2 linked regions of the Daphnia pulex genome follow. The protein of the gene in region 1 interacts with the protein of each later gene in a pairwise test. Links are inferred from orthologs where the notes say so. Each region holds a gene or a part of one and is shown in the gene's direction. Other genes may lie near its edges. The genes, in order: protein Red-like and WD40 repeat-containing protein SMU1-like.

Region 1 (4,386 bases):
CGGCTCGAACAACTGAACCTAGCCAGGGGAAAGATGCCGCTGCTACTGCAACACCCTCAGTTTCCACGCAAAAATCTACCAGTTCCTCCACTACTGCCAAACAGACAACACCAGCGACTACCACAACAGCCCCTCGAACGAATTCATCTAATCCGATTCTATTGAGGTCGCACGAATCGTCGGTGAGGTGCGTGTACATCTGTGGGCCGTGCGCATTCACGGCTTCAGAAGATGGGACGGTCCACATTTACGATTTGAATACGAATGCGCTCGCCATGCGGATATTGGGTCACACCAAGCCGGTTACTTGGTTGTACGGAGTCGCATTGAACACGTCGGGTGAGGTGATGAAGTCGATCAAGTCCACTACTGACTATCTCAACCACTTGACGCTCATCACGGGCAGTGAAGACGCACACATTCGACAGTTTGCATTAGACAGTGGCTCCTTGATCCACGAAAGATTTTGTAAACATGCTTTGACGTGTGCAGTGGGCCACAAATTTATCACAAAGCTCTATGTGGGCACTACGGAAGGAACCATCTTCACTTATAATCCCAAAATCAATAGTATCCGGATAAACAAATTTAAAGTAAGTTTGATTTGGTAAAATAAGTTACGAGTTAGAACAATTTCAAAAGCTTCTATTTTTGCAGGCGAATGGTGAAGTCATTTGTATGAAGATACTAAACGTTCGGGGAAAAAGAGCAATCATTGTGGCAGCGAGGCGAATGGACCCCGTTGTTTATGACTTGGATACGGAAGATGCTCTCTTCACATTGACCTCAAACATTCCGAGCAGTTCTTTTTACTGTATGTCAAGTACCTCGCACTATGTGTTCTGCTGCGACGCCAACAAGAACCTCTTTAAATTCGACACAAATAGTGATAATATGTATATCACGGAAACTCGTAAGAACGTGTAGAGTTAATTTTCCGATAAAGTAATTAAAATTTTCAAATGTTTTAGTTCCCTCTGCGGCTGTGAGTTCGTCCTTTGAAGGGAACCGATATCTCATCCTTGGCTGTATGGATGGAGTTATTCGAGTAATAGATACATTGCATAAGCCGTCTCGAATTATCACTTTGCCAGGGCAGGCCTTGAAGACAATCACATGTATGAAAATCGTCAATGGCAAGGTATTGTTTTGGTTTACTTATTTTTGAAAATCCTGAGGCTTGAAGTAATGAAATTTTATTTCAGATGGTTGGGGGATCACTCAACGGTGAAGTTGCTTATTGTCAGCTTCCTAATTTAGAGGCTTTGTGTAAAGTCAATGGCTAATATGAAGAGATTTTCTCTGTGTGAAACTTATCTACTTTTTAAGTAGGCTTTGAAAGAATACTACAATGATTTCGTTTCATGGTACTGATTTTGTTATAATTCCGATGACAAAAACGCAGAAATAATGATGTGAAAAATACACTGGCGTAATGCTCAGAATTCATACTCCCCGCGTTTTTATTTATTTTGTTTTTCCTTCAGCTACTGTTTAGTATTCCCGTAGACTTAGCAGACGACGTTAGTTTGCTTCGTCTGTTGTTTCGACAAGTTCGAAGTTTCGAACTGTTTGGCTTTGGCAAGCAAAGTTTTTGTAAATTTTGTTTTCTCATTGTGAATTCAACTATCTATCGGCCTAATAATGCCTGACAGTAAGATCATTGCTGTAATTTTTTATTGAAATAATGTATAGTAACTTTAAATTGAATTTCGTTTCAGGAGATGGGCAGGACGCTGGACCTGGGGAAGCGTAAGAAATGATTCATTCATTTAGACCATGTTCCAAATTAATGTAGCTTATTGTTTTTATTTTTTAATCCGTAGATCCTCCAGGTTGACAAACGATGACTTCCGAAAGTTGATGATGACACCTCGTGCTGGATTTGGATCAGGTTCAGGTTCTTCAAGTAATTTGGGGATGGGGTCTGTTCGAGGAGAGAGTAGTGTTCGTAAAACAACACATGGGAAAAGTGACCAGAAAAGAGCTAAAAAAAGGTGAGACACTCATTCAAACTATGCATTAATAGTTGTTAACGTCTTTGAATAATTTTAGTGAATACTTGAAAGAGAAAAAAGAAGAAGAAGAAATTCTAGCTGAACTTGCAAAAAAATATCGCGATCGTGCTAAAGAAAGACGAGATGGAGGCGAAGCTTCTGGCCCTGATGCGTTAGCGACACTTGGAGCTTATCGTGCTGTAGCACCAGATATAAAATCGTACTACAGTCATACTTTTCTACTGAAAAACTTCAAACAATCAACATGAATCAAATTTCTTTTACAGAACAATGGATGCTGCTGAACGAAGGAAACAAATGATCCAAGAATCAAAGTTTTTGGGTGGTGACATGGAACACACTCACTTGGTGAAAGGTCTCGATTATGCTCTTCTCCAGAAAGTACGCAGTGAAATGGAGCAGTTTGAAGAAGAGGATGACGAACAACTCGAACAGGCTGTTGAAGGCGAAAAAAAAGAGGGAGAAAAGGAAGTCGAGAAAAAGAAGGAAGGTGACGATGAGATCCAGTTTAAAACAATTATAGGAAAAAACATTTTTAGGTAAAACTTCAACTTCATATCATTGAAATGATCATGAGTTAATTTATTGTTTTATTTATTTTAAAATGCAGGGCCGTATTCAGATCAAAACCACCTGAGCGAAACGAACATTTCCTTCCTGGTCGAATGGCGTATCTTATCGAGTTAGAAGATGAGAATGCCGAGTCAGACATACCAACGACCGTGTTGAGAAGCAAAGCTGATTGCCCCGGACTGGAATCCTTAGCCACTCTGTCTACAAATGACATTGTCATTAATAAGCTGACGCAAATTTTATCGTACCTCCGGCAAGGAAAAATCGGCAAAAAGCTCAAAAAGCCCAAAGAAAACAAAGACATGCCACCCCCGCAAATCATCCCCGGCCTGAAAGTCAACAAATCCACAATAGTAGAAGACACCATCTACAGCAATATCGGGACTTATGTGGCCCCGACAAAGGAGAAAACTGCCTCTAGTAGTTCACGTGACAGGGAAAGGCGAAGTGACAAGCGTGACTACTTTGACGACAAATCCCGCAAGGATAAAGACGGAGATGCTGATCGAGACAAGTCCAAGGATGCTTTGAAAAGCGCCGCAGTTTTGGAAGCTGAACGGACTCTGGGTGCCCTGCTAAAACCAGGAGCAGCTGATGCAAGTTTTCAATAATGATACTGAGTTTCATCTTTTACCAGTTATTGATTGTCTATTGATTCACAGAAACGAGATGGTGGGTCTTCCAAGAAGGCAGATAAAATGCTTTCTAAACTATCCGCTGAACCTGAAGGATATGCCGAATGCTATCCTGGTTTCGAGGAAATGAACGACGCTCTTGAAGACTCGGACGATGAAGCCGATTACTCAAAAATGGACCTGGTAAGAAATGATTAAAACGTTGATTGAAAATTGATTTTACAGATTCTTTTTGTAAACTTATTTCTCAGGGCAACAAAAAAGGACCAGTCGGTCGATGGGACTTTGATACAGCGGAAGAGTATGGTGATTACATGAACAAAAAGGAAGCCCTTCCTAAAGCTGCCTATCAGTATGGTATCAAGATGGCCGACGGACGCAAGACGCGCAACAAGACTGTTGTCAAAACAGATAAGACGGAGAAAGCGGAACTGGACCGAGAATGGCAGAAGATCCAATCTATCCTACACAAGCGTAAAGGAGGTCCATCGGGAGAATCACAGTAAGTTTCATAATTATTTCAAAATGTTTTCCTGTATAATTCATGATTTCTTATTCGTTTAGAAAACCGGAGAAGTCTGTTCGTCGTAATTGATATTTTTCATCATTGGTTTTCCTTCATTAACCATATTCTACTGTATTGACCGCGAAAATGTTTTCTAATGTTCCCAATTAACTGCATTCATTTAGGTACCCATCGTGAATGAAAAGATTTGTTTTTCGTACCCTCACTAGCTTCATATATATTTCATCACAAGTGCAGTGAAACAATTCCAGAGCATCAGTCAATTTCATTCCATTTTTTTTTCTAAACAAAAACTATTTTTGTGGACCAAAAGATATTCAACAAGACAGAAAGTGAGAAAAGTATATAGTGGTTCGTCAAAGACTGACCCATATAAAAAGAAAAAGGATAAACACACATGAAAGCCACCACAAAGCACACCAACGAGCATCGAAAGAGGGCATGTGACAATTATGGCACAACTCTATTTGTCAATCTTGTCTATCAAGAAGAATGAAGGGGTTGGGCTCATCGCAACGGGCCAAATGGATGGAAAGAAAAAAGGCTGCTTGGGAGGAGTTTTCCATTTCATCTTGAAAGTAGCGGATAGATAGATATATATCGTGGTTGCCACACATAGACAAGTCGGGAAAAA
Region 2 (4,426 bases), on another chromosome or scaffold:
CAAGGCGCTCATCCGGCGAGTTGTTGCCGGTGAACAACGAAGAGAGAGCCACTATACCAGCCAGCCAGCACAGGACAAAGACATTCGAGACCAAAAGTGGTCGCTCGGTCGCCCTAATGCAGGTCTCTGCTGGTCTGTTGCACGGATGGTGATCTAGGTGAAGGGCAAGACAAACAAGAAATGGAAATGGAAATAACACAGCAGCGACGATGGAGAGAGGCGAAATCACTCTCGCTTTCTAAAAATCTAAGGGCGACTCTACTACTATTTCTCTCTCTTATTCTTTCATATATAGGTTCTCTTTTCTTTCTATTAGCCCGCGTGGTGTGTTTCTCTTTTCAAACTTCTTTTTCCCTTTTTCACCGAATATACTATGTTGTGTTATGTCATCGCAAAACTAACAGCCCCGCCAGCAGCTTTTTCTTTCCTGTGATTACTCAACAAATGGAAGGGAAAAAGAGTCGCGCGCGTGGTGGGGAAAACTGGCCAACTTTTTGATTAAATACACACACGCTCTTTCATTATTATTATTATGATTACTATGATTTCCATTGTTCCATATCTCTCTTTTTTTTTCCTGCCTTTCCATTCGACCAGATTTTCTACTGCCCGTATAGTGTGTGCTGTATTAACTGCTGCGGAAGAAAAATGTTGACAGGGTTTCCACAACTTTCCCCGCGCTGTAATAATTGAAGGATGTCGCAAGGACTTTCGGGGGGCTGTCCTTATTTCCAATCTTTTCAGCTCAAATACCATCGGGACTATAAGCGATATATTCCGTTGGCAGCATTTATCTCTGCAATAAAGGCACGAGATCAAGGTATTTCATATTGTCGGTGCATAATATAATGGGAAAGGGGATAAACTATATCGCAACTTGCCGACCAACGGTCGAGGCGAACCGGTATACAGCCAATGACAAATGAACGGCCAAATCTGTGGAATTTGCGCACGAATGAATCATTCATGGCTCGCCGTCTGGACAAAAGAAAAAAGAAAATAAGAAACGGATTGAGGACAGCTTGTCCGTGACTCGGATCGATAATATAATGGCGAAACAAATCCAAGTCAAAACAAACGTATACATATAATTCTTTTAGACGAAGGTAGGTTACTAATTCGGGCTATAGTCATTGCTATTGTTATGGCTATACTTGCAATTCATCGAATTAATAATAAGCTATTTGACTACATTTTATGAATGGCTGTAATTCCCATTTTGCGACAATTAAAATAGCATATCGTAAATTTCTTGATTGGGACTCTATCCCAGACCAAAGTTTGTTAAATAGACAATTCATTGAAATTATCAAATCCAAATTAATTTCTTAGATTAAGAACATAGGTGTAATTTAACTATAAGGTTAATAAAACCTCTAAAAGACAATGTTGTCCAACTTGGCAGCTTTACTTTCTTTGATTTTTCAAATTTCGCACGAAACTCTCTAGTTTTAAAAGTGAGCTCTAGATGGCTCTTGAAACAAACAAACTTGTGACAGAAGAAGCTGATCGGTTTACAATTTGGAAATTCTTAAAAATTGTTTCTGAAAATGTCTATTGAAATTGAATCAGCCGAGTAATTACAAACATACATTTTAAAACATTGAGTTCCTAATGTAACATGCATTTCCTTAATCTTCTAGCGTTATTCGTCTCATCCAGCAGTTCTTGAAAGAGTCTAACTTGATGAGGACCCTCCAAGTGCTCCAGGTACCATGCCGGTTTTTGTTTTCTTACTCAATGTAGCCGAAAACAATATTCATTAAACAAATCTTTATCTTCCTCATTATGTAGGATGAAACAGGCATTTCTCTCAACACTGTCGATTCAGTTGAATCATTTGCAGATGACATTCTCAGTGGCCATTGGGATACAGTTTTAAAAGCAACACAATCTCTTAAACTTCCAGACAAGAAATTAATTGACCTTTATGAACAGGTATCAATCACTCATCAAGAATCTTTGCAAATTCTAGAGTCATAATAATAACGGGTAACAAATTGCTAGGTCGTTTTAGAATTGATAGAGCTCCGTGAGTTGGGGGCAGCCAGATCACTGCTGCGTCAGACAGATCCTATGGCCCTTATGAAACAGCAAGAACCTGATCGATATTTAAATCTAGGTCAGTTCTTCTTCTTTAGTCAACCCACCATCAGTAATTGATGAATTTCTTTTTGTTCGTCTTCCATAGAAAACCTGCTGGCTAGGTCTTATTTTGACACCAGGGAAGCATATCCCGAAGGAAGCAGTAAAGAAAAACGGAGAGCAGCCATTGCTCAAGCTCTGAGTGGAGAAGTGTCCGTGGTACCACCATCTCGTCTACTCGCTCTACTCGGGCAATCTTTGAAATGGCAACAGCATCAAGGACTTTTGCCTCCCGGTACCAGTATCGATCTTTTCAGAGGTAAAGCTGCCATCAAAGAACAAGAAGAGGAACAGCCACCTACTCAGTTGACTAAACACATCAAATTCGGACAAAAGTCTCACGTCGAATGCGCAAAATTCTCACCTGACGGACAGTATCTGGTCACCGGCTCTGTTGACGGCTTTATTGAAGTTTGGAATTTTACCACCGGAAAGATTCGTAAAGATCTCAAATACCAAGCTCAGGTAATCAAGAAATGTACCCTTCAATTTCAAATCACTGTAACATATTTTTGTTTTTATCTCCAGGACAATTTCATGATGATGGAAGATGCTATTCTCTGCCTAACCTTTAGTCGTGACTCTGAAATGCTTGCTAGTGGCTCTCAAGATGGCAAAATCAAAGTTTGGAAAATTCAGACTGGCCAGTGCCTACGCAAATTTGAGAAAGCCCATAGCAAAGGTGTGACCAGTATGCAGTTTTCCAAAGATAACAGCCAGCTATTGACAGGATCGTTCGACATGTCCGTCAGGTAAAGGCAATTGTTCCCATCTTTTTGTGAAAAATAATCGACGATCTTTGCTGATTCTTAAACTTTTATTTGCAGAGTCCACGGTTTAAAATCGGGCAAGACTCTGAAAGAATTCCGTGGCCACACTTCCTTCGTCAACGAAGCCATTTTCACAGCCGATGGTCATCACGTGTTGAGTGCTTCCTGTGACGGCAGTGTCAAAGTCTGGAGTATGAAATCGGGCGAGTGCGTCTCCACGTACAAATCGCTGGGCGGTTCATCAGGCGGTGACTTGACGATTCACACCATCACCCTCCTACCCAAGAACCCAGAGCAGTTTATCGTCAGCAATAAGAGCAGTACTGTAGTTATCATGAATATGCAGGGACAGGTAAGAGAAATATCTAAACGTTAATCGCCTAACGCTAAAATAATCCATTTCGTTCTTTATTAAAAAATACGCGTAGATTGTCAGATCATTCACCAGCGGTAAGCGTGATGGTGGTGACTTTGTTTGCTGTACCCTATCACCTAAAGGCGAATGGATTTATTGCATCGGTGAAGACATGGTGCTCTATTGTTTCTCCATCGCATCAGGCAAACTCGAAAAAACTTTAACGGTACTTTTTATTCTTTCTCGTAATTTCGCTGCTAGTTGTCGTTCTCATTTCTCCATTTCTGATTTAGGTCCACGAGAAAGAAGTCATAGGCATGAGTCACCACCCGCATCAAAATCTCCTATGTACCTACAGTGAAGACGGATTTCTGAGAATGTGGCGACCTTAAACTTTGATGACGAATCTATTTTGAACGAGGAAAAATACAGGTGTCGTTTTGTGAAGCTAGAAATGACTCTTCGATTTTCACAGCAAAGAGTCAACAGATTGGAGTTGAAACAACATGATGGTGAAACACAAGGCATAAATTTCATTCATAATTTTGTGCTGCTTCTCTTGGTTCCTGACTCTTTCGTTGTTAGCCCGTATTTCCACTTAAGGTGTTTTCATCTTTCCCGTCGCTTGTAAGGTCGCTGAGGTAGAATGATGAGTTGGACCTTGAGCGTGTCACGCTTGGGCCCAACCAGGAAAGGCGATGGTGGACTATTTGGCTGTGGCCGATCACAATCGAACCGATCCGGATTGATGTCCGAGTATGTCAGTAAGTTGTCATATCGCAGCACTGGTTCTTCCTGCGAGAAGATGAAATTCCGGACCGTTGTGCTTCGCACATGTTCAACTCCGCCGTGTACACCGTAAACCAGTACAGCTACACGGACGTGAGCTTCAATAGGGTCCTGCATCAACAAAAGTTCAACAATTCAGAATGGCGCTTCAATCAAATTAAAAAAAAAAAAAAAAAAGATTAACGATGAAACGACCTTCAGCATGAGTGACAGTCTTACTGTACGCAAAACTGTTTCTGGAACTTCGATATTTCCTTGCCAGACAATTAGACAGCAAGGCCGAAACCACACTCCTGTCACACAGTCAAAAAGGTATGTAAATTGAAATTGGGCTATCAGGGTATGAATGTTATTCTACCTTTGGGAG

Evidence for each region.
Region 2: the proteins of protein Red-like (region 1) and WD40 repeat-containing protein SMU1-like interact in binary tests that used the Caenorhabditis elegans proteins (3 or more experiments, as listed by UniProt). The link is inferred for Daphnia pulex from reciprocal best matches to the Caenorhabditis elegans genes smu-2 and smu-1.

Annotation. Positions count from the first base shown.
Region 1 is NC_060027.1:2,116,239-2,120,624, forward strand, and holds protein Red-like, read left to right. Parts: upstream 1-1,507; 5' UTR 1,508-1,644; coding exon 1,645-1,654; intron 1,655-1,721; coding exon 1,722-1,752; intron 1,753-1,826; coding exon 1,827-1,997; intron 1,998-2,055; coding exon 2,056-2,217; intron 2,218-2,284; coding exon 2,285-2,557; intron 2,558-2,628; coding exon 2,629-3,187; intron 3,188-3,253; coding exon 3,254-3,409; intron 3,410-3,477; coding exon 3,478-3,728; intron 3,729-3,790; coding exon 3,791-3,821; 3' UTR 3,822-4,010; downstream 4,011-4,386. Other genes in the region: flocculation protein FLO11-like, read left to right, coding at 1-593, 658-913, 972-1,141, 1,206-1,286. UniProt on the Caenorhabditis elegans protein: Auxiliary spliceosomal protein that regulates selection of alternative splice sites in a small set of target pre-mRNA species. Selectively regulates alternative splicing of unc-52 exon 17.
Region 2 is NC_060024.1:13,654,776-13,659,201, forward strand, and holds WD40 repeat-containing protein SMU1-like, read left to right. Parts: upstream 1-1,427; 5' UTR 1,428-1,550; coding exon 1,551-1,576; intron 1,577-1,643; coding exon 1,644-1,710; intron 1,711-1,794; coding exon 1,795-1,938; intron 1,939-2,007; coding exon 2,008-2,122; intron 2,123-2,191; coding exon 2,192-2,610; intron 2,611-2,673; coding exon 2,674-2,897; intron 2,898-2,972; coding exon 2,973-3,267; intron 3,268-3,343; coding exon 3,344-3,496; intron 3,497-3,563; coding exon 3,564-3,662; 3' UTR 3,663-3,721; downstream 3,722-4,426. Other genes in the region: BTB/POZ domain-containing protein 17-like, read right to left, coding at 3,880-4,170, 4,255-4,352, 4,418-4,426. UniProt on the Caenorhabditis elegans protein: Involved in pre-mRNA splicing as a component of the spliceosome. Selectively regulates alternative splicing of unc-52 exon 17.